Mytilus edulis: one gene and its partner. The protein of the gene in region 1 purifies or fractionates together with the protein of each later gene. This does not show direct contact. Links are inferred from orthologs where the notes say so. Each region holds a gene or a part of one and is shown on either strand. Other genes may lie near its edges.

Region 1 (13,356 bases):
AACCAACTAAAAGTAGGTGATAGCCATGCAACTTTTAAAATTAGATTGTAGGATTCATGTGTGGATTTTTGATACAAATTTTAGTAATAAAAGTAAATCATACAATAGAACATTTTTATGATTTTAAAAAAAAAATACTTTAGACAAACATATGAAACTGACATGATCGATAGTGTATTGAAAATACATATTTGTATTCTGACCTTTTTGCTTCAGTCCAGCAAACATTTTTTGCTCAGTTTTATTGTCGAAATATAATGTGTATTGTTATGTGACTCTTGATGAATGTTGAATGCGTGGTTAAACTTAAGGTAATTAAAAGATTAGCATTATGTAACTCTAATCTTTGGATCTTCATTCAGTGAATTCTAGCCGTCACGGTTCACCGTTCCAGGTGTGATCAACATTTCGTTTGAATGATAAACGAGCATGATAGTTTTAGACACAGAAATGTAAAAAAAGAATTAAAACTAATTAACGGGAGTAATAAGGACGCACAATAACTGGATAGCCGTTGTATATATTTTTATATATTGCATAAGCTCACTTTTAAATGAATTATGACTTCTGATTACTTTTGTAACGATGAATGATACTGAGTTAATTTAATTGAATAAATTTATAAATAATAATAGCCTTCTAAACACGAGTGTATGGACTAAAAATTGTACTATTTTAAATTAGAATGGGTAACCTTTAATATTTGGAACAAATCATTACCAATTGCAATCAAATAATTATTTCCATCCAAAGCGATCTTTATTGACATATTCAGGAATTAATTTTCTCATCAAAATATTTTAAATCTCACAACGGCTATTTGAAAAATCCGATGTTTAAAAAATTGACAGGAAATTTAAGGACCTTCTTTGAATGGAATCGTAAAATAACGAATAGCTAACGAAAAATAATGCAAACCCACAGGCATTTAACTAGTCTACTGTCTGCAAGTCTAGATGAAGCCAATAAACAGAAAATCAGAAAATTCAATAAAGATATCTAGATGAATATACAAACCAATATCTCCCAATCATCAACTGACTGTGGTTCTATAAAAACTCTCTGTGATTTTGACACTGCACTAATAGGTCTAACCAATACCTGGAAAAAAAAAGTTTTCACTTTCAATTTATTCTTACTAAATACAAAAAAAATAATGAAATTAGTGTATAATCTTGTACTGACAACATAAAGATTAAACATTAAACATAAAAACTGATTACATAAAATCATAACCATTATACTAGAAACATTTTTGTTGCATGCTATACTAGAAACATTTTTTCTGCATGATATAACTGACATATCACTGTATTTATACTTACCTCACAAACCACTTCTTAACAGAACTAACAAAACTCATTATTCAACTGCATAAAAGGTCCATAATATATGTAGGACCAACAAAAAAGTTAAACAATGGCTGTATTTTGGAAGGACAAAATGAGAGAATAGTTTAAAAATATGTGCCATAAAAAGAACTATGAGGGATGAAGAATACATCAAAATAGAAAGAATCAAATTTGGTCATCTTTGTTTCATGATAGTGAACATGGTGATTCTTGAAAAATGAATAAAATGGGAATGATCCACAAGTTATGGTATAGAAGCAAATGTAGAGAAAGAGGATGCCGTTCCTATACAATTATATGCAGGTTTGTTTACAAAGTGTGAGATTTTTTATCAACATATTTAACTACTGTGGATTCATTTTTTTTTTTATGGTTAACCAATTTTTGGATTTAGGAAAACTTGCACTTTAGTAGATGTTAATTTCATGGTTTTGCCAATGTCTGCATTAAAGCTGTTAGAAATTTTGTAATTCACTGTACACTTAAATTTTGTAGTTCGCACTCGCCTTATAATTACAGCCCCTCTGGTCATGTTAACTTATAACTGGGGATTTTAACATAATTCAACATGAAAATCTCTGAAAGGTGATTTCTCATGGTCCTAAGTTTAGAGAACCCCAACACATCAATTGGAACCATAACTTCAAAATAATTATGGATTCCATTGAGGACTACGCCAGAGCATGAGCTAAGCGAGAAGAAGTTGAACTGGACACTTTGTCAGAATGGGTAAAAACTATCAGGTCTCTGATAAAACGTCGCATTCACAAGTTGAAAAACTGTGTGAACGATCGACCAAAGTCCGTTTTCAGAGACAAAGAGGTCATGAAATGTCTATCATCTCTTCATGATAAGTATGTTGTTATTCCTGCAGACAAAGCTTCAAATAATATTGTCTTTGTATGTAAATCGTATTACTACGAATGTCTTGTAAAAGAATCGAGTATAAAGGAGCACTCAGGTAATCCCACATACAAAGACATATCATTTGACAAGGATGAGATTTTAGCAAATCATAAGTCCTTCATGGCTTCAATAAACATTACATTGAACATCAAATCGAAGGACTTACCTTGTTTGTATTGGATACCAAAGCTTCATAAAATTCCGTACAAACAACAGTATATTGCTGGCTCATCTTCATGTTCCACTAAAGAATTGTCCATTAGATTGACTAAAATTCTGTCCGCAGTGAAAGAGGGTCTTCAGTAATACTGTGAAACTGTTTACTCGCTTAGTGGTATTAACCATATGTTGATTCTTAAAAATTCTAAAGAACTTCTAGACAATTTTAAATCTCAGTCTTTTTCTGAAATTAGTTCTATCAAAACTTTTGATTTTTTAACCCTGTTTACCACCATTCCCCATGTGAAATTGAAAAATCGCCTAAAAAGAAATCATCCACAATGCCTTTCAACATAAAAATGGTAGCATACGCTATAAATTTATTACTTTGGGATTTCATAAGGCATATTTCGTTAATAGTGACAAACAAAAAGGTAAAACATGCTACACAGAAGAACAAGTGGTCAGCTTGCTGGAGTTTCTTATCGACAACATATTTGTTGAGTTTGGAGGTAGACTTTTCCAACAAATTGTCGGCATTCCTATGGGAACAAACTGTGTGCCTCTTCTTGCCGACCTCTTCTTATTTTCATATGAATCGGAGTTCCTCCAGACACTTGCCAAAAACAAGAGGATCAAAGAAGCGAGATTATTTAATTTCACTTTCAGATATATTGATGATGTTCTTTCCATAAACAATCCAAACTTTTCTGATTGGGTTCCATCAATATATCCCCCAGAACTAGAAATTAAAGAAACAACAGACACGGATTCCTCTGCTTCATTTTAAGACTTATTCAGTACCAGAATCTATGACAAACAAGACAATTTTGATTTTGAAATAATAAATTTCCCCCACCTTAGTAGCAATATACCAACTTGACCTGCATATGGGATATATATTTCCCAACTTATTAGATATTCAAGAGCTTGCAGCTCCTACTCAGACTTTGTAAAACGTCATCAGTGTCTGAGTAGAAAGTTGATGAACCAGGGGTATGTCAAAGAACGTCTCGTCCTTTTTCAAAAAAAGTTCATCGGAAGATACCAAGACCTTGTTGATAAATATTCCGTATCAACTTCACAAATAATACATGATGGTCTTAATGTATAGATTCTGAGTACTGATGTTGTTTATCATCTTAACAATGTGTTTTATTGTTCTTTCATTTGTATTTGTTCTATTAATAATATTACTTTTTCTGTTGGATTGTTTTAGGTAATATTTGACTTGGCTCGGTACTTACAAAATGTATACATCCCGTCAATGTGTTTGTATTGTCTTTCATTTTTTGGTGGTGTGTTTTGTATATGCAACTTTTTGTGTTTCTTTGGTTCATATAACGTGACTCTGTACTTTATAAGATCCCGTCAGTATGAAATGGTTCTATTTCATGTCATTATGATATATTTCTATTATGAATTACAAAATGCGTTGAACCATAAACGTCAAAATCATTCAATCGCGTAGTGGAATTAGCTATTTGTGGATTCTTATAAATTCTATATATAACTTTTGGACTATTTTAAATCTCAGTCTATTTCTGAAATTTATTCTTTCATACTTTTGATTTTTAACCCTGTATGCTAACATTGCCTATGTGAAATTTTAAAATTGTTTGTATGTACATTGAACGACAAATATATGTGACGTATAAAATTTTCTGACGTCAGACACACAAATCAATGAATGTGTTTGTAGATAGATGTTTTTGTGTTCTGTTAAATTGTTCCTTTAAAAATTGTTACAAGATGATGACTGCTGTTCCCATATTTTGACTATTTTATTTATTGTGTCTGTTTAGTTAACGCATCATTGTAAATATAACAGAATTTGATGAGACTGTAATCAAAGTGAGAGGGTTAGCGCTATAGAACCAGGTTTAATCCACCATTTTCTACATTTGAAAATGCCTGTACCAAGTCAGGAATATGACAGTTCTTGTCCATTTGTTTTTGATGGGTTTTGTATTTTAATTTTGCCATGTCATTATGGACTTTCCAAATTAATTTTCCTCTACATGTAAGTTTAGTATTTTTGTGATTTTACTTTTTGTTCCCACGAATACCACGAAAATGGGTATCCAACTAATAATAATGAATCCAGAGACAAAACAATTGTCCTAAACTCTTTCTAAGAAAATTACTTCTGGATCCTTCATTCCAAGTCTGTCAGCATATATTCCATTCACTTGAAGTTCTGCATCTCTGTATCCTGATTCTCCAGTAGCAGTAAAATAAGCATGTTCATCCCTACCAAACTGTACTTCATACACCTGTATCTACAAAATGGTATCAAAAATATATATCAATAACTAGTTTCAATAGTTTGTTCCATATATACATTTTTTTATACTTTTTCAGCATATGGTCTAGATAAGATAAACAAAAAGGGATGGAATGGCCTGTTACACAAAAGGTATCTAACATGTCCAACTATCCAATATGTCTGATGTTTGCTTCCAATAATTTAATGCATCCAATTTTCATTCCTTTAAGAAATGCATCTTGAACTTACAATAAGGTGTGTGCTTTTACTACTTGTTGAAAGCCTGGCTGTGACTTCAAAAGGAAGATCAGCAATAGACCACTTTTGCAGTTGTAAATTTTATGCATCATTTACCCGATAGTTGGGATCGCCTATAGATAATACCTACATGTATATATAGTCATTTAGCCTTCTATAGTATATAAGTATAATCACTATATACAGGTAAAAAAATGTTTTACCACCTATATGTATATATTTATTGACAGTTTGATGGCAAATATATTGATAATTTAGATATATTTACATATTTTTTTCTTTTTGGTTTATCCTCTTATTTGATATATAAAAAGAGCGATGCAAGTAATCGTAAAATATGGGCTTGATATGAAACCCTTAAAGCAACAGAAACAGGTTCAACAGTTCAATTGTAAATGTGAAAGAGTAATGATATTTAAGCACTATCCATTTCTTTTGTCATTTTGTGAAGTTTCTGAATCTTTTGAAAATCAAAAACTCCAGAAAGATAAGTTTTTTGGACAGAAAAAGTTTTGCAAATGGCGCCAGTATGTTCCTTTATTGAACTGACCCTTCCGATATTTTACTTCGTTAATTGAATTAACAATCACATTATTAGATTTGTACAGAATAATACCGGATGTTTAAAAATTCAAAAAAACAATAGCACTGCTATACACCTTATCGCTAATCCCGGCTGACCCAGCCGCTTGATCTTTTGACACATACAACAATCACTTTTCCATTGTGGCTTCAGATATTTTGTTTATGACGTCAAAATTTTACCGGAACCTGTGTGATATCCAGTAATGGCGGACAAATAGCGATAAGGTGTATTAGAAACTGCTGCGGTCTGCCCAATAGCACAGTGCTGAAATACAATGGTGCCGAATACTGCAACGCTAATATGGCCTGGGATAACACCTGTAACCTTTCAATTATCAATATTTCTGTTTCTTTTTAGAAAGATTCTGAATTTAGAGTATGAGGTCCGAGACCACAATTGTCGTCCCTTGATTTTCGTTGTCCACAAATATAGTCCCTAGTGTTGACAGTGGGTTACTTGCCATTAATTTATATACTCCTTCCAAATTTATTTCTCCATGTTTAATGCCTCAAATTGCAAAAAGGGGGGTAAAATTACACTGTAAAAAAATTTGGGTCCAGAATTTTAAAGGAAAGTAGTGATTTGGTCCAGCTGAAAAAGGTTAAAAATTAGCACTTTGGAAGCTGTCAAAAGATTTCAAGACGCCCTAAACATAAAATTGTCCATGTTTTGAGTTAGAGCTGATGAAGTTTTCTATAATTTTGATATAATTTGTCCCAAAAGTAGTACAACACACTGTAACAATTTCATTGAGAAAGCAAAGGTGGGAGTAATTTTCATTTATGTTCTAAAAGAAATGCACTAGTCACCACGAAATAATTGCGGTCTCGAACCATGAGCGTCGTGATGGGGTAATTTTGGAACGAAAAACTGAAAAATAAAATGCATGATGACGGTAAAGGAGAAAAGAAGAAGCAACATTATTTTAAACATGCATTTTAAAAGTGAAACTGAAACAGAAAGTAGAAATATTACAAAGCTTCGTCTTTTTTACCCCTTCAGCGGCTAACGATGTTTTGCACAACTCTTTTGGTAAGACAATAAAGCAGTTCTTTTCAGCTTTGTGGGACACTCTGGTCACTGTGCAGCTCATTTCAAGTAGTGTAGTTTTTCAAGATAAAAATAGCTGACCATCCTTTCACTTCCGGTCCAGTGGAGTGAATAAAAGATGGATTGATTTGTCAAAAGACCAAATGTTAAATGAAAAATAAATATCACCATGAAGTACGGATATAGAAGCAAATCATTGTTCTTCTTGTAGAGGATAATAGTTGGCTTCGGGTCGAGTAGTTTTGAGACCATAACAATATATACTATATTGAAGTAAGGAAAAGGAGAATTTTAAATGAATTTCAAACTTTGGACTTTCATTAGATAAAGCAAGCCAAAGTCACTTTAACGGTGGACAAAAAAGCTATTTCTTAAGGTAGCACAATACAAAGATTTTTTTACTTCCAATCACTAACCTTTGAAATGCTGTAACTTTCTTATAAATGCATAGAAAATGATAAAAGAGGTATATATAGATAGATAAAAGATTAATCTTTTAAATGAATGCAATATTTTTATTATGCAATCATTGTGTAATCAATTATTATGTAATTAGTGTCAAAATTTGGGTAAGCTCACTTGAATGAATTTAGCTCTATCATTTCTTTAACTATACAGAAAATTTTAACGAAATCTTAATCAACACATTGTGGGCTTCAAAAGGGTGTCTCAGATTGTTTCTGCCATTCTCTCATAAATCTCTTATTAGTGTAAACATCCTAACCAATAAAAGAAGATAATGTTTAATTATGTGTAAAATTTGTTCTATACATTCTATCTGAAATCTGAGACACCCTTTTGTAGATAATGGCCATAGGAACAACATATAATAAAATCAATCCTCTAGGGATACCTATGCAGAAGCTAATTTCATTTGAAAGTGGAAATTTGGTGAAAAATATTTTAGGCACAGTTAACATTATAATTGGTTACATAATTGTTGCATAATACTAACATTGCATTTATTTCAAAGAGTAATCTGTTAGCTATCCAAAAATACCACTTTTATAAATTTTCAAGCTTTATTAAGAAAGTTACAGCATTTTAAAACTTTGGAGTTGGAGTTATAAAATCTTTGTATTGTGCTACCTTAACATCAAAACTATTTACTTTTTTATAATTTTCTAATATAAAAAAATACAATCATATTTTTGGTGTTAAAAAAAGATTATTTTTTCATATTAGTAAGTATTTTGTTAATATTAGAAAATTAATTTTTAATATTAAAATGTGATTTTCAGTTAAATATTATAATATAAATAAATTTGGTGTATTTACTGTCTTCTGATTGGTTAAAATTTTTAGTTCTATTTTCAATGTTGTCAATTTTTATGGCGACACGCCCACTCCGCTGACGTTGTGTACTCATACGCCAACAAGTGTGTACGTTGCTATTGTTAATATAAATAATATAAAAAGTTCTTTGAGCTTTATTTTTGATAGAAATTTATTTATAATGAATGGCAATAATTTATTTTGAATTTATTGAACCATAAAATTAATTTTTGACTCTTCACATTTTACATAATCCGCTTCGCGGATTATTCAATGTGAAGAGTCAAAAATTAATTTTATGGTTCAATAAATTAAAAATTAATAATAGCCATTCATTAAATGAATTCTTAATGTTTGAAAACGATTTTCATTATAAAAAAAAGTTCTTTTGTTCACTTTGTCACTGATAAAGCAGATGTGACTTTTGAATTTCATTTCAGTGGAAGCATTTGACTCTTAGGTAGAGTAATCCAAATGCATCTTTGAAAACTGCACATGACCATGCAATATTCTCCTTCTTTTGTGCGTATCGTCCCTTATTCTTGATAGTGCAGACAATATGTCTTAATTAATTCATGTGATTTTTAAAATCTCCGCTAGATCTAGATTCCGAACCCCAACCGACCCGTGACTTTCACGCAAAACCTCAAAATAAAGTTCATTCGGAAATGACATGGTTATGTCGTTTTTTTAACCCTGCACCAACCAAATTTTCATTTGTACTTATATTTGTCCCTCCTCCACCAAACAGTCCCCAACCAGTCAAATAATCACACCTCCTGATGTAGTGATGATACTTCCAAGATATGTAAATTTTAAGACATCTTCTATTTCAGCATCTCTCTCACTTTGATTTTGATAAGTTGGTTTTAATTTCGTTTACCCTCATTGATTTTGTCTTTTTTGCATTTATGTATAGTCCTACTTGTTTTGCAGTTGTATCAAGGTTGGTTGCTTGGTTTTGTGAGTCTTCATGGCGATGGGTAAGCAGGCAGATATCGTCTGCAAAGTCAATGTCTTCTAGGCATGACTGTAATGTCCACGGAATTGTAGTTATGACATAAAGAACATATACGATATCATCTGTGAAATGGATATTCCATAACGGTCAACCAACTCGTGATGGCGTCCATAAAATTTACCAAGGAATTATTACAACTTCACCATTTGGAACTCTTGGTTTAATTGCTTCCTTGTGAGGAGCGACCCTCTTTCAATGATTTCATGATAGAAAATACAGGCCCGGGAGTATCGTATCAATTATGAGATATATACCCCGTATGCAGGCGCTGCTGGAATGTTGCTACATAGAAATGGAAAGGTTCACAATTGGGAAGCTGAAATAATCTCTTTTGTCGTAAAGTTTTGTTTTCAACCGACCCGCATTGTCAATTTCTAGATGTTAGTCAAGATATGAGGCAGACTTAACTGTATCTTGTATCCTTTATCTCTAGTTTGATGGGATAGATGCGGTCAACATAGTCATCAAATTTTGAATTATTTAGTGAGAAAACATCATCTATATAGCGGAAAGTAAAGTTATAGGATAATGCTAACTTCTTATCTTTCTTCATAAGAAATCTCTGTATGAAGTCGGCCTCATGATAATAAAGGAACAAGTCGGCAAGAAGAGGGGCACAATTGGTTCCCATTGGAATGCCGACTGTCTGTTGAAAAAAAACACGTCCTCCAAAAGTAACAAATATGTTGTAAATCAAGAAATCCAATATCTTGACAATGTCAGTTATTTCTTTAAACTTTGTAGGATGATGATGTGACATAGGACTTTGCTAGGAATTGAAAGCAACATTATACCTTTCCAGTTGCTACAGATTGATTTAGCCTTTCTTTGGTAGTTTAATAAAGATATCTTTACGCCAGTCATCAGGTATATGTTCGTCATTCCATATTCTGTTAAGTAGTTGTGAAGTTTATCAATACATAGGTAATTCATTACCTTAATAGCTTTAGGGGGTATGCTGTCAATTCCTCCTTCTTTTCCATGTTTCAGTTGTTTTATTGCAGCATTTATAAAACAATAAAGCGTTATTCAGGACCTGTCTCCCTTCTATGTTAGATGGGTCTGTTTGGCACTTTTTTAAAATGTTCTTTTCATCGTTTAACTAAGGATTTTCTAATCCCAGGAATAGATTCCCTTAGCCGTATTTAGCACAACTTTTTGGAATTTTGGGTCTTGAATGCTCGTCAACTTTGTACTTGTTTGGCTTAATAACTCTTTTTATCTAAGCGTCATTGATGAGTCTTATGTAGACAAAACGCGCGTCTGACGTATTAAATTACCGGTATAATCCTGATACCTTTGATAACTATTTACACCACTAGGTAGATGCAACTGCTGGTGGACGTGTCGTCCCCGAGGGTATCACCAGCCCAGTAGCAAGCACTTCGGTGTTGACATAAATATCAATTATTTGGTCATTTTATAAATTTCCTGATTAAAAAAGTATAAATTTTTCGAATACTTAGGACTTTCTTATCCCAGGCTTAGATTACCTTAGCCGTATTTGGCACAATTTTTAGGAATTTGGGTCATCAATGCTCTTCAACTTTGCACTTGTTATATCTGGTTTTTGGGGAGCTAAATTTTCATCTTTATTGGTCCTTCAACTATAGATGATGGTCTGATGCTGCATCTGCTCCTGGTTTTGCCCTAACATCTTGCATATTTGAGAGATGGTTATTTGGTCTATTTGGTTTCCTGCATTTCCTGCTGGTGACACCCACGTTACCTTATGGCAATTCTCGTGTTTGAAAAGTGTTCCTCCTATGACAAGGCGTCATATCATAGCACATTTCTGCACATTTTCATTTCATTTTTTCCTATTCCATGAGGACCAATGTCTCACTCCCATCCCTTTCTTTCTGATCCAACCGAAGCATTTAGGTCACCTATGATTACCAATAGGTACCTTTTTAGCACCTTTTATATATGGTTGTTCGTAATGAGTGGTAGAAATCTTCTTTTTCACTGTCTTCTGCATCATTGATTGGGACATTTACTTGTATCAGGGTGGTTTTTGGAAACGTGAGTTATATAAAGCATGTTGTGATAATTCTTGGTGATACGGGCTTCCACTCCAGAAGAGCTGTTTTAGAGTCTTTTTGTTATAAGAAATCCAACTCCCTTTCCATGTGGGTCATTCTGTTTGGTGTTTCTGTAATATATAATTGTGTGGCCTGTATTCAAATTTGTCATGCCTGATGTGTGTTCCATCTTATAAACTCATCATAGATACCTGGATTAAGTTTATATTTACGCCAGACGCGCGTTTCGTCTACAAAAGACTCATCAGTTACGCTCGAATCCAAAAAGTTAAAAAGGCATTGAGGACCAAAATTCCTTACAGCTAAGGTAGTCTATTCTTGCGGTAAAAAGCCTTAGTATTCAAAAGTTTGTAAACACAATTTATAAATATGTCAATTATAGTTCATGTCAGCAGTGAAGTATATATAATATAAATTTGTTTATTAAAGTGTTACATATTGAAGTGCTGACTACTGGGATGGTTATACCCTCGTGGAATTAAAACCCCACCATGAGTGGTATCAATTAATTGGTTGTAAATAAAGGCAACAGTCTTTTGTAGACGAAACGCGTCTGGCGTATATACTAAATTTAGTCCTGGTATCTATGATGAGTTTATATACCGCTGTTTGAAATTTATAAATCGATTGAGAAAAAAATACAAATCCGGGTTACAAGCTGTAAATAAACTCATCATAGATAAATTCGCTTAGTCCTAGAATATCAATCTTGTATCTAGCGATCTTGTTTGCTACTTATGAACATTTACCACTTTGGTATAGTATTCTTACATTACATGTGCCTATTCTGGTGATGAGTTTGTTTGAAAGCAACTTCATCGGCCTTCGCGTCAGATGCTGTTTTCGTTTAAAAACATGTTCTTCCGAAACGTGCGTCTGGTGCAAATTTCAATCCTGATATCTATAATGAGTTGATTTTCCTCCAGTCATTTGACGAGAAGAAGTTGCTTTTGTGATCGTTTCTGTATTCAAGATTTTTGTCAAAGGCAGGGTGATTTACCCTACGATTATCCACCTAGACTCGGAGGACCGGCATCTTTTCTGTAGGGGTTTACATCCCTTAGTCGATTGCTATTGCCAGCGAGATCTATCTACCCGGATCGTCTGTCTGGGTTTACTTCCATAGCCTTTGATTAAAAAATGCAATCACAAGGCAGTGATACTATGTGACTCATAGCTGGGGCAAGGATGATGAGTGCTAGGGCATGTCCACACGCCAGTTTGCCTACACACTGCATCGCGGTGGCCCTTGCTGCTCCGAGATCCTCTACAGATGACGCCTAGGGTAATATAACATAGTTGACTGTGTGCTGTCGCGAGAAATCTTTGATAGTGTAGAGGCTTTGTACTGACAGGAACTGGAGATCTACACACTCGACTTTCTTTTCACCCACACGTGAGTTAGCCAGTGGCAATGATAGTGGTATCCCCCAAACCCACACACACACACATATACACACACACACATATACACACACACACATATACACACACACACACGAGACGCATATGGAACCCATGTAACAAAACCACCAGCACACTTTGATATTAAATTTAGGGGAAATCAAATCTAATCGATAGCTATTTCTAGATACCAGGTGACCCTGCTGGTCATAACATAATAAACTCGTGATAGATACCAGGATAAAAAAAAAAGTATATATACGCAAGGCGCGCGTTTCGTCTACAAAAGACTCATCAGTGACTTACATAACATAATAATAACAAAATGTTTTTTAGGACCACTGAGACACATATACACGTGTACTAATTAGCACAATACATAACTATAACAAATGTATTAATGAAAATCAATGATTTTAGCAATTAAATATAGAACAATTTTTACATAATTATATAATTGAGAATATAATTACAATATTTTAACTTGAAATCTAAACATTTGCTAATCTTAAATAAAAACTTATCCCTTTCATTTTTTCACCACTTGAAAATGTAACAGTAAAGCAATATTCGGGAATTTTCTTACTTTTTTATTAAATGATAACAGATAACAAATATTGAATGAAATTCGTTTCCTATTGACACAAGAAGCATAGATGACACGGGTTTTCCATATCTGCAAATTCCAAACCACCGTCTCGTTTCCATTAAATGTAAAGGGTTGTAGCATCTTAGTTTAGTATTTTGTTTAACGATCTTCAAACGAGAAGATGGTCCAGGTAGTTCAAACTACTATATACTTGTCAAAACCACGGTTGTGACTTCGAACCACGCACGTTGCAGGTGCGTTCGACTCCAATCTCAAATGACTAGGATTGCCAGATTTCCCGCCGATGGTCTGTGGTTCTCTCCTGGCTTTCCGACTTCCTCTATCAATAAAAACTGACCGCCATGAAATAGACAATATTGCTGAAAGTGGCAAAAAACATCTATACAACTTGACGATGGGAATATGGTGATTTGGAAAGATG
Region 2 (12,673 bases), on another chromosome or scaffold:
TTATAAAAGCATTTACATGAAAATCTGGCAAAATCCAAACGTTGAATTAATCTTATCTTTCAGATAGTGCATCATGATTATTATGCATTTAGGTTTTTAAAAACATTAAAGTACGTCATAAGAAACGAGTGGACGGTGAAAAATAATGTTCTTCCAATTCTTGAACCAATGCATACAAACATCATAAACTTAGTCTTCTGTTCAAGAATTTCTCTTTTTTTTTCGCATAAATTTCGTATAATCGTCAATTTTTTTTTCTCAATCGGTCAGTGTTGTGAAAATATAACAGGTAATTAAAGTTCGTGTTTTGAAGCTGAAGTTTTACGATTGTCACCTGTTTGTCAACATTCAACAACAAAACAACAAAGTATGAAAAATTGAGCACGTGTTTTTAAAACATGTAAATTCAGATAATAGTTCTTTTAAGGACATCCATGCGTGTTGCGATCACCGGATTTTTACGAGATGGGTCACACTGAGGTCACTTTGAATACGGAAAATATGTCGGGGGAATTGCTTTCTGGAAGGAAGCAACTAAAATAAAGTAAACTTCTTCTAAATATGAATAAATTAAAGAATTTTCTTCAGAAAAAATTATATGTACATAAGTTTTATAATGTAAACTATCCATTGAGTTATAAAAAACATATGCATTATTTTTTTTTAATTTGAGGTTTCTTATGACTTTAAGGAAATAATTGCAACTATTGATCAGTGATTGAATTTTAAATTTCATTTTTTAATCCTTATTCCATATAAGTATAAAGCTTTCAGCTCCAGGAAAAGCTGAATCGAACTTGTCTAATTAAATATAAACTTACCTGAAATAGTGGAAGTTATAAAAGACATGTACATCAACAGTATTTCTGACAAAATCTGTACAAGGACATCAATTTGCAAACACCTTAATATAATTGTGTAACAGTTCATTAAAGAACGGAAGTGTATATGAATAGTAATACATGTAGCAGTTTATTTGACATATTTGTTGCCTTGGTTGTCTTACGTGTATTCAACTTGATACGCGACAACTGGTACGATGTCACGCTTTATGTATTAAATAATTGTCGTATACGTGATGCAAACTGATAACCATAATATTAAGCGCTCTCATCGATGGATGTATCGACCTGAAAGATCTTTGTCCAAGTCTTGGTATATTCATATATTTTTATATTACATTACTAGAAACTTCAAAGAAATAAAAAAAAAATATCCCTCCATCTTTAACATGTCATTTTTGTTCACTGAAAAAAGGAACATCTTAGACTCGGGTACTAACGAGCCTTACATATTGTACAGAAATTTGTCTCTTTGGTTGAAATCCAAATTTTCGAATGCTTGTTTATTTGGCTTATTTTTTTGCTGTTTACCTGGATGTTTTCTCATTTCCAAATATTTCACCTATCAAGCTTGGTGTCCGATCTCTTTTACAAAGATGAGGTATACAAAATAGATAATTCCGTATAGGGCTTATAATGGGTCCAACTTGTAAATGTCAATTTGTAGAATTGTCTTTATAATAAGTTACCTCTGGTCAAAACTAAAGGAGTAGGTCCGGTAATGGCCGATTTCGGCCTCAATTTAAAAATTCATCTAAAGAAAGATTTTAGACACTTTTTAAACACTTAAGTGTCTGTTTCAATTGATTCAATTAGTTTATGTGAAAGATTTTAACTGATTAAGTCATTCAAAACACTCCGATTCAAGCTTAAATATGAAAAATCTATCAAATATGCCAAAAATCGTCACTTTTCAGATGCTTCTTGTCAAAAATGAAACTGGCCGCATCCGTGTTCATCCTCACTCTCTTTATATATATTATGTATTATCATCAAATACAACTTACATTTCAAAATTATGAATGAACACGAATGCGGCCACTTTCATTTAAGCCGGAAACCGTCTACAATTTAACTAAAATGCTAAAATTGTGAAGATTTCAGTAATTTAGCATGACTTAATGATGCTAGTACCCGATATATGTGCATTGTATTGTCAAAAACAGCCCATATTTATATAGCAGAAGCATTCTACTTTTCAATAAATATCATAACGATTACATTTTCACAATTTTCTAAAACTGCCATATTTTGGGGCCAAAAAGGGGTTTTACTGAACCTACTCCTTTGTTTTGAGAAGTAGATTTGAAATGTTTTAAAAAAAATGTCACTTTAATTTGAATAAAACCTTCTGTGAAATTGACAGTATTAAGGTCACGGATGCGTGATTTTTTTGTTTGACAAAATATCTGTTTCGTTTGGATAACGTGTTTTTTTTAACAAACAATGAAAAATTACTGTGCTCCTCTTCTTGTCTATTAAGTTCTTTTCTTCATATGAGGCGGATTACATGCAATAGAAGAGGGACAAAAGGTACAAGAGGGACAAAAGGTACAAGAGTGATAAAAGGTACAAGAGGGACAAAGGGTACAAGAGGGACAAAAGGTACAAGAGGGACAGTCAAACTGATAAATTGAAAATAAACTGACAACGCCATGGCTAAAGATAAAAAGACGAACAGACAAATAAAAGTACAGAAGAACACAACATAGAAAACTAAAGACTAAGCAACACGAACCCCACCAAAAACTTGGGTGATCTCAGGTGCTCCGGAAGAGTAAGAAGATCCTACTCCACATGTGGTTCCCGTCGTGTTAAAAGGACAGTATGAGGACATGTGTGCTTTTCACTTTTGAAAATTAAACCATAATCTTAACTTGATTTACCACAGTCAAGTCCTGTAGATGTTGATGGACACACTTTCTTTGAAATTTCTCCAATACAGACAACACAATCAAAAACATTTTATTCTGCAATGATACATTGACAAAACGACTTTTTTATCATCGGAACTGAACATTAAACAGTCAAGGATTTGAAACCGTATACTTTTCGTAGTCGGCTAAAAAAGGCAAACTATATATTATAGCTCTTGTGCTCATTATATTGTTGTTAGAAATGGAATCCAATAATACCATCACTTCAAGTTTATCTAAGCTTGTTTCGATTTGTGAAGAACAAATCTGGATTGTTTAATCATCTTTATTATGAACAAAATAAGCATTCTTTGAAAATGTATCCATGAGTTAGAAAAGTAAAAAAGAAGTTCGATAACAGAAAAGATGTTTAACAAAAGCTTATATTTGAGGCCAGTCGAGATGAACAACGGATTCTGGCTTGTCTAGTTGCCTTACTTTAATATTTCCTTTTGTCTGCGGGCTTTGTATTATAATGTTATTCATAAAACTACACGTTCTCTCTCGGTGTCTTTTTCTTAGTATAGACAAGCTCAGTTTCGAAGTCCTTAATTTATATTTTGTCATATATATTTCCCTACAGCTATACTCAATTGGTTATTGCAATAAAAACAAACCTTAATTAGTCATTTCAATTCAAAGTTGACAAAAATCCGAAAAATTAACAAAAGACTATAATTCAGTATTACTTGAATATATAACAGTTATTATCAAATATTAATATGAAGATCATTATAAAACGATGAATATACATGTATGTACAATATCTTTTATCAAGATAAAAGGTATACAATTGTATCATATGTCTCTGCTTAGGCTAATGATGACTTTTCAATACTGTAACAGTTTATTTTTTACTGAAGTATACATGCTTAAAGTAAACAAACCATTTTAGTATGTTTTAGTATCAAATATGAATAACAAAGAGGCTCATTTAATGACCAAAAACACAATTTTAGGTTTGTTTTCATTGTAATCAGAATGTAATAAAAAAGTAATCAAGATTACAGGGTATTTTAAAAAGTAATTGATTAAATTAAATTACATGTAATCAGATTTTTGTCTGATTAATGATTACACTGATTACTTGAAAAATTGTAATCAATTACATCTGATTAACGATTACAATTACAATAAATAAATAATAAATAAATAATTTGTTTATTAAAGTGTCACATATTGATTGCAATAAAAATAATTCATACACGATATACATACATTATAAAACAACCAATATCCAGCCAAAAACTGACTTACGAGACACTATGTTATACCAAATACATATTTACAGATTAAAATAGCGTAAAAATAAAATATTAAAATTAATATGCGTCTTTTCCACAAATAAATAATCCTGAGCTTGAATCTCTAATAATTAGTTATATAAAACATATACTCATTTCACAAAAAAATGATAAAAATTCTCAATTCCATTCATAATTGAATATCAGTTTATAAATCACATTGTCTAATAAATAAAATAAAAATTTAACTATTTATAGAATATAAACTTTTAAAAATATAAACCCCTTTTATTTGTCTAAATTAGGCATAAAAAGGGAAAAGAAGTTGAATCATTACAAAAATAATTTTCTGCGGATAAAAAATTTGTGTAGACTTTTACAAAAATAATGCTGGATTTCAGTGCCATTCATAATACTTAGAAATTTGTCATTAATATTTATATTGACAAAATTCGTTATGTGCTTAGAACATTCGTAAAATAAGTCGTATCTTAGATCACTTTACAAAGGACATTCCAGTAGGAAATGTTTTTCATCTTCAATGGCTCTACAATCAATCAATACACATAATCGTTCTTCTGTAGGCATAGGCGGCCTGGAGTATCTCCCTACTTCAATTGCGAGCGGAAGAGAGCCTGAGCGAAAGAGGGCCATAGTTCGTCGTACATTTACCCTAAGTCTGTGTCAGTATGAGCTTTAACATATTCAAAATTTAATATATACAAATAATCAGGAAAAATCATGTTGTAATACTATTCTTAACAAATTAATACACTATCATATATAAAACTATTTCAATATAGAGTTACCATAGCTTTAAATTTCACTGAATAAGATCATTGTATTTACATGATCATATTGAAATTAAAAGCCGTGGTAAGGGGACGACCGTTTAATATCCTTGGGGGGAGGGGGCAGGAGGATTTGTTTTTGATCGGTTATTTATTTTTGTAAACTAAGAGGACAGCGTATTCATTTTCTGCACTATTGAAGCAAGATTTTTCATTTTCATTAAAGCAAGAGACTGATTATTCATTTTCACAACCATATTTTTGATATTCGAAAACATACAATTTTTAAATGATTTGTTTATTATAAATAATACATATAGTATAGTAAAGTCATTATGTACCATTTAATTAGATTATCCATCCCCCTCTGCAGGAATGAATCTTTTAAATTCCCAACTGCATATACATGTATTGCAAACATACATAGTATTAAAGTTTAGTTATGACTAGGTACCTTTTAAATGTATTGGCAAACATACTACGCCGAGCGGAGCGAGGCAAACAATTTTTTGAAGGGTTTTGGAGCCACTGAAGGCCCAAGAAGCTATAGAACTAATGATGCAAAATGATGCTTTCTTGGTGTTCCGAATACCGTTCCGAATACCGTTCCGAAGACCCTTTCATAATCTGAAAAGGAAGTTTTGTTTGAATAATTTTTTGACAATATTTTGGTCTCAAAGAAAAATGTATAAATTCAGTGTAAGACTGAAGTTTCTAGGGACACCACAAAAGACCGGCAATGTGCATGATAAAGAAAAAATGGAATTCACATAGTTAAGTCTGTGGCTACTGTTTTTTTTTTTGTTTAACTCATGATCAAGTTCATAACAAAATTACTAGATTACAAAAGGAATGCAACACTAACAGAATACAGAAGGGCAATCAATGAACAAAAGACAAATAAATAAGAAACATTGATCCCGAAAAATCAGGGCTATAAGTCTGATGGAAAACAGAACTTTCTTCTTGCAAGGCTGTGAACACAATTTGCTATGGAGACAAGCGTTTGGTTTTGAAATTTCCTACATGTAGTTACGGACCTGTTAAAATAAAAGCGAGGTAAGGTTTCCTGAGACAATATACCTCAAGTTAAATGAAACCAATTTTCAGACACTTCAAGTATATTTAAATAATATTTATACTATTGTTATTAAAACTATTGGGAAGTGTTTCCCGATTTTTTCGGGGCGAAAAGATGAATTTATGAAGAATCTGGTGCCATCTCAAACTTTCGATTAGACCTGCTGAGTTATTTATTTTCTATACATTGTAAGTCAGCCTAATTTATTTTCAAACTACCACAGAACAAACCATTTATTTTTGTGATTATCAAGGCTGAGTTATTTATTTTCAAAATCCTCCCCCCCCCCCAAGAATATCAAATGGTCGTCCCCTTAGTAGAGGTCCAAGTTGTATACAAAATAAAAATGACAAAAAATCGTTCACTGTTGATGTTGCCTTGAAACATATAAATCAACACTATATAGAAAGTTTTCCTATGCAGGTCACATGACTGTAAAATGGCTTCCAAAGAAATTGGTCCTAGAAAAACTGATCATTCAACGATTCATACAAATATTGAATCAGCAAAACACTGTTTGGATCTTGCTAGAGAACAATTGCTTTTCAAACACTTTGATGATTGCATCAAAACATGCGAAAAAGGAATAGTTAAAGCTAAATTAGAATATAATGGGTATTAATATGTTTATCAATTTACATTTTTGTATTTACAAGTAAAACAGTTTACAATGTTCGTCCATATTATTTGCCCCGACTGTGTCAGCGCAATTTTCTAATCAGATAATTGCTCTGAAACAAATGATTTATAACCAACATTTAAACAAGTTCTTAATATCAAAACCCTAAATCTCAAAAGATACATAGAATATTATCTGATTATCCCTCTATATATATAAAAAAGAAGATGTGGTATGATTTCCAATGAGACAACTGTCCACAAGACACCAAATGACACAGACATTAACAACTATAGGTCATCGTACGGCCTTCAACATTGAGCGAAGCCCATACCACACAGTCGTCTATAAACTTTAAAGGCCCCGATATGACAATGTAAAATAATTCAAACGAGAAAATTAATGGCCTTATTTATAAAAAAAATGAACTAAAAACAAATTTATAACACATAAACAAACGACAACCACTGAATTACAGGTATCCTGACTTGGGACAGGCACATACATAAATAATGTGGTGGGGTTAAACATGTGAGCGGGATTCCAACCATCCCCCTAACCTGGTTATATATTGTTGGTATTACATGTATCAGGGGTCTGTTCACTCCCAAAACACATTCTTACCCTACCGAAAACTGTGAATGTTTTTCAACAAGGTTCAAATGAAGCTCATGCATAGGTTTTATGAGTCTAGATAAGTTCATTACATCCCAACTATTTTGCCCTACCAGGAATGAACTGAGTCTATGCTGGGAATCAAACTCAAGACCTTCAGCATATGAAGCCAAGATTCATATATACCCCTACACCAGGACTATTGGATACAAACTGTATGTCAATTTGAAATGTTTATTCTGAAAACATTGTATCCAGTGTTCATGAAGGGTATATACTATTTATTATTATCAGGGATCTCCATGGCCTGTTTAACTATGGCGTCCTGCCATCGTTCAAATGTCTTGCGCCATTGTCAAATGACCTGCACCATCGTTAAATTGTCTTCCACCATCGTGCAAAACTGTAACCGTTTTTATACATGTTATAGCCTGACGCCATTATTTAAAAAAAAAATGCATGTCATTTGCATGTAATTGCATAACCCTCAGGCTTTTTTTTATATTATAATCCAATACAGTTCTAACGCCTGAGGGATATCCGGATTAAGATTGCTAATCACTTGTACCTGAGCTTGTACAGGTAGATCAACAAACCAGACAGGAGAATACTATCTGAAGATAGAGGATTCATTTGTCGAATTATTCAACTAAGTTTCTGCAAATGCTTATGATAATTTAGATTAAATAAATGAATTAATAATCCAGTTACAAAGAAAATAGTTTTAACAAGTCGAACCTCTGAGAGTCGAACACATGCTTTTATTTTGACTTATGCAATCTGCATCCCCCTTTTTAAAGATGTTAAGAAAAAAAGATGTAAAACAGTAATTATTATTTCATCGCAAAAAACTCGAGTACTGCTGTATTGTAACAATAATATAGAATTACTTTAAAAGTTAAAAAGTTAAAACTTAATATTTCCTGTACAGAAATATTGTATTGTAATTCCGAATTCATTTCTTGGTTTACAATCTAATTGATACATCTGCATTTCCGGTTTCTATTCAGACTTGAAAGATGCATAGCATCAATTTGCTAGATAAAGTCATTAAAAACCTTTTCATTTGTCAACGTTTGCTTTACAAATCTCTTTAACCTTTTACATAACCCGTACCAATGATTTTGTCAATGTTGCTGCAAATCAGCCATACCGGTAATGGGTTCATGACTTCTGAATTTGACAGTGTCTGTGAAAAATAAGCTCCACCTGATTTTAAACCCCATAACAATTATCAAAAATAGCAAGAAAAATACATGGGGACCTTCATGACAGCTTTTTGTCATTCTCGGATTGCAATTATTGAAAGTATTTATACTTTTATTTATAACAAATGTATAATGAAAATTCAAATAAATATAATTTAAATAAGCAATGAATTAGCATGTTCACCAATCCTTATTTGGAGGGATGAAATACTTTCAATTGCGCTACACTGTACAGCGTAGACATGGTTTGTGATGGTGAAAGTTCCTCCATTGTTCAATTTTCATCCATGGAGATCCCTGAATATATAAAGTATATAATAATTATTTTATGACTTTTGAACTAGATGTTATGGAGTTTAATGAAATTTTTTTTTTTATATTTTCTAGAGGAGCTGGGATCCTGGGATTTAAAATAGTTATCCCACTCAGAGTTGGTTTTTCTGTTATTAAAAGATCAACTTTGACAATCAAGGTGATCTTATACAGACACACTGCATCCTCATGGGATAACTATTACTTAGATTACGTACATTGTTGGTGTAAAAACAGTACTGCAAAAACAAAAAATACTAGTTTTTAAAAGATTCATTTTTATACGACCGCAAAATTTGAAAAATTTTTCGTCGTATATTGCTATCACGTTGGCGTCGTCAACGTCGTCGTCCGAATACTTTTAGTTTTCGCACTCTAACTTTAGTAAAAGTGAATGGAAATCTATGAAATTTTAACACAAGGTTTATGACCACAAAAGGAAGGTTGATATTGATTTTGGGAGTTTTGGTCCCAACATTTTAGGAATTAGGGGCCAAAAAGGGCCCAAATAAGCATTTTCTTGGTTTTCGCACTATAACTTTAGTTTAAGTTAATAGAAATCTATGAAATTTTGACACAAGGTTTATGACCACAAAAGAACGGTTGGGATTGATTTTGGTAGTTTTAGTTTCAACAGTTTAGGAATTAGGGGCCAAAAAAGGGCCCAAATAAGCATTATTCTTGGTTTTCGCACAATAACTTTAGTTTAAGTAAATAGAAATCAATGAAATTTAAACACAATGTTAATGACTACAAAAGGAAGGTTGGTATTGATTTTGGGAGTTTAGGTCCCAACAGTTTAGGAATTAGGGGCCAAAAAGGGACCCAAATAAGCATTTTTCTTGGTTTTCGCACCATAACGTTAGTACATGTATAAGTAAATAGAAATCTATGAAATTTAAACACAAGGTTTATGACCATAAAAGGAAGGTTGGTATTGATTTTGGGAGTTTTGGTCCCAACAGAATAAGGGGCCCAAAGGGTCCAAAATTAAACTTTGTTTGATTTCATCAAAATTGAATAATTGGGGTTCTTTGATATGCCGAATCTAACTGTAATGACTGTGAATGTAGATTCTTAACTTTTGGTCCCGTTTTCAAATTGGTCTACATTAAGGTCCAAAGGGTCCAAAATTAAACTTAGTTTGATTTTGACAAAAAATGAATCAGTTAGGTTCTTTGATATGCTGAATCTAAAAATGTACTTAGATTCTTGATTATTGGCCCAGTTTTCAAGTTGGTCCAAATCGGGGTCCAAAATTAAACTTTGTTTGATTTCATCAAAAATTGAATAAATGGGGTTCTTTGATATACCAAATCTAACTGTGTATGTAGATTCTTCATTTTTGGTCCTGTTTTCAAATTGGTCTACACTAAAGTCCAAAGGGTCCAAAATTAAACTTAGTCTGATTTTAACAAAAATTGAAATCTTGGGGTTCTTTGATATGCTGAATCCAAAAATGTACTAAGATTTTTTATTATGGGCCCAGTTTTCAAGTTGGTCCAAATCAGGATCTAAAATTATTATATTAAGTATTGTGCAATAGCAAGTCTTTTCAATTGCACAGTATTGCGCAATGGCAAGAAATATCTAATTGCACAATATTGTGAAATAGCAAATTTTTTTTTAATTAGAGTTATCTTTCTTTGTCCAGAATAGTAAGCAAGAAATATCTAATTGCAAAATATTGTGCAATAGCAAGATTTTTTTTTAATTGGAGTTATCTTTCTTTGTCCAGAATCAACTTAAATCTTTGTTATATACAATATACATTCACTTTTTACTACCAACTGATAAATTAAAATAATCTTTACCATTCAGTGATAACAAGCAGTTTTTTTACATCTTAATATTTTATGATGTATTTAAATGAGTAGTTATTGTTGCAAACTCCATTAGAAATTTTAATTGAGATTAGTTTTGGAATAAGGGAAAGGGGGATGTGATTAAAAAAATTGGGTTCAATTTTTCTCATTTGAAATTTCATAAATAAAAAAGAAAATTTCTTCAAACATTTTTTTGAGAGGATTAATATTCAACAGCATAGTGAATTGCTCTAAGAGAAAACAAAAATTTTAAGTTCATTAGAACACATTCATTCTGTGTCAGACACCTATGCTGTGTCAACTATTTAATCACAATCCAAATTTAGAGCTGAATCCAGCTTGAATGTTACATGTATGTCCATACTTGCCCCAACTGTTCAGGGTTCAACCTCTGCGGTCGTATAAAGCTATGCCCTGCAGAGCATCTGGTTAAATACTGTATTGTTGTACATGTATATATGGTTACAAAGTACATATATATTGATTCAGATAATTTCAAAAGGTTCTAGGGTAATTTCCAATGTTAAAAAAAAATGTTCATGACATTCTTTTAAGGGTAACAAAACATTCGAAATTCCTTCAGTACATTGATAAAGAAAGGTGAGCAAATATCCTAGCATGAAATATTAATTAACTGATTATAATACTTTTCAGAAGTCCAGATATTGTAGAAGCACTATGTATTGTTGGCATACAGGCATATGCAGAGCTAAATCATTGGCAACAGGTCCTTCCTTATGTACAGAATGTGTATACAAGTATTGAAGAATGTCCATTTAGAGTTGTTCAGCTATGGTGGGTAAAATAAACAGTTTCAAACATGATATAAAATCAAACCATGGTTAAAGTTTGTAGTCTTTATGAACAACATTGTCAAGTTGTTTTAAGATGCAACATTTCACAACAGTCATTTTATAATAAGTATACATAAGGACACATTATTATATGACACTGAGAGCAAGGTGACAACTATTAAACACAAGTCAACAAAAGGTAAGGATCTGCTGGTCATCATACAGTGTTCAACAATGGGTACGCATCCATAATAAAATAATTCCATACCTGTGAGGGCTTAGTTAACCACAGATTTTAATAGTATAGGTAAAAAGCACAGGCACTCGTCTCAGAATATTTTTCCCCTATATACCTTTATATACATGTAACACAAGGTACTTAACTTGTATTTTAGAAAAATGTCAGGCGGTGACGAAATTCTGTTATATGCCGCTTTCTAGTCTGTCAAACCTATTAAAACTTGTTATATTGTAGATCTAAATTGAATTATCTTTACAGTGATGTATAACATGCTTACATTTGTTGTCGAAATCATCCTAAAGCAATCCTACCAAAGTATGTCAATCGTAATAATTTTGCCAACCGCTGAAGAATTGGCAATAAACGTGTCATGTCTCTTTATATATCTTGGTTTCCGATTGGTCAATTTTATGGGAAAGTCTAAATGATTATCAGAGTTATCTGATCTTGTTTCATTTTCATACGTTAAGTCAAGAGAGACATTGACTTCATGGGAAAATTTGTATCTAAAAAAGGAAACTCGTTACTTTTTAGACATACCACAAATAACACTTGTGATTTTTTTTCAAGATATCTTATACAATTTTACTAACTAGGGGATAAGTTCTATTCAGACCAAAAAATAACAGTTTTTTTCTGAAACAGTTTTTATAATTAATCATTTACTGCGAGACGTTTGTTGCCAATTTTGTGTAGGTAGACGAAATAATTACGATTGACATACTTGGATATGACTGTTACGGATGATTCCGGATGATTCCGACAACAAAAGTAGGCGTGTTATTTACCATTGTGAAGATAAATCAATTAAGATTGATGACATAACAAGTTTTAGTGGGGTTGACAGCCGAGAAATCGGCATATTTCGGAATTTCGTCACTGCCTGACATGTTTTTAAATCCTTGTGTTATATAAAGGTATATAGGAATAAATTTTTTCTGAGACGAGTGCCTGTGGTAAAAAGATATGTAATTTCCATTTCAATTCTTAAATTTAACATAAAAAGGATATTCTGTAAATGAACAAAAAACACTAAATATATTTGAACTTGTGTGACCATGGCAAGAATATGCAATTTCAACCTCTAAATACAACATCCAAACAGTGGTTTTACATTCTTAGGTATATATTGCATTGGTATGAAAATAAAGTTAAAAGGAAGGGAAATGGCATAAAAAAAAAAA

The links.
Region 2: the proteins of peroxisomal ATPase PEX1-like (region 1) and peroxisome assembly protein 26-like purify together in Homo sapiens (affinity purification with western blotting; 3 studies listed by BioGRID and IntAct, with this or other methods). This does not show direct contact. The link is inferred for Mytilus edulis from reciprocal best matches to the Homo sapiens genes PEX1 and PEX26.

Annotation. Positions count from the first base shown.
Region 1 is NC_092346.1:52,570,825-52,584,180, reverse strand, and holds the start of peroxisomal ATPase PEX1-like, read right to left. Parts: upstream 6,701-13,356; 5' UTR 6,624-6,700; coding exon 6,525-6,623; intron 4,700-6,524; coding exon 4,565-4,699; intron 1,102-4,564; coding exon 1,018-1,101; intron 1-1,017. UniProt on the Homo sapiens protein: Component of the PEX1-PEX6 AAA ATPase complex, a protein dislocase complex that mediates the ATP-dependent extraction of the PEX5 receptor from peroxisomal membranes, an essential step for PEX5 recycling.
Region 2 is NC_092344.1:37,969,646-37,982,318, reverse strand, and holds the start of peroxisome assembly protein 26-like, read left to right. Parts: upstream 1-6,281; 5' UTR 6,282-6,313; coding exon 6,314-6,489; intron 6,490-11,108; coding exon 11,109-11,249; intron 11,250-12,673. UniProt on the Homo sapiens protein: Peroxisomal docking factor that anchors PEX1 and PEX6 to peroxisome membranes. PEX26 is therefore required for the formation of the PEX1-PEX6 AAA ATPase complex, a complex that mediates the extraction of the PEX5 receptor from peroxisomal membrane.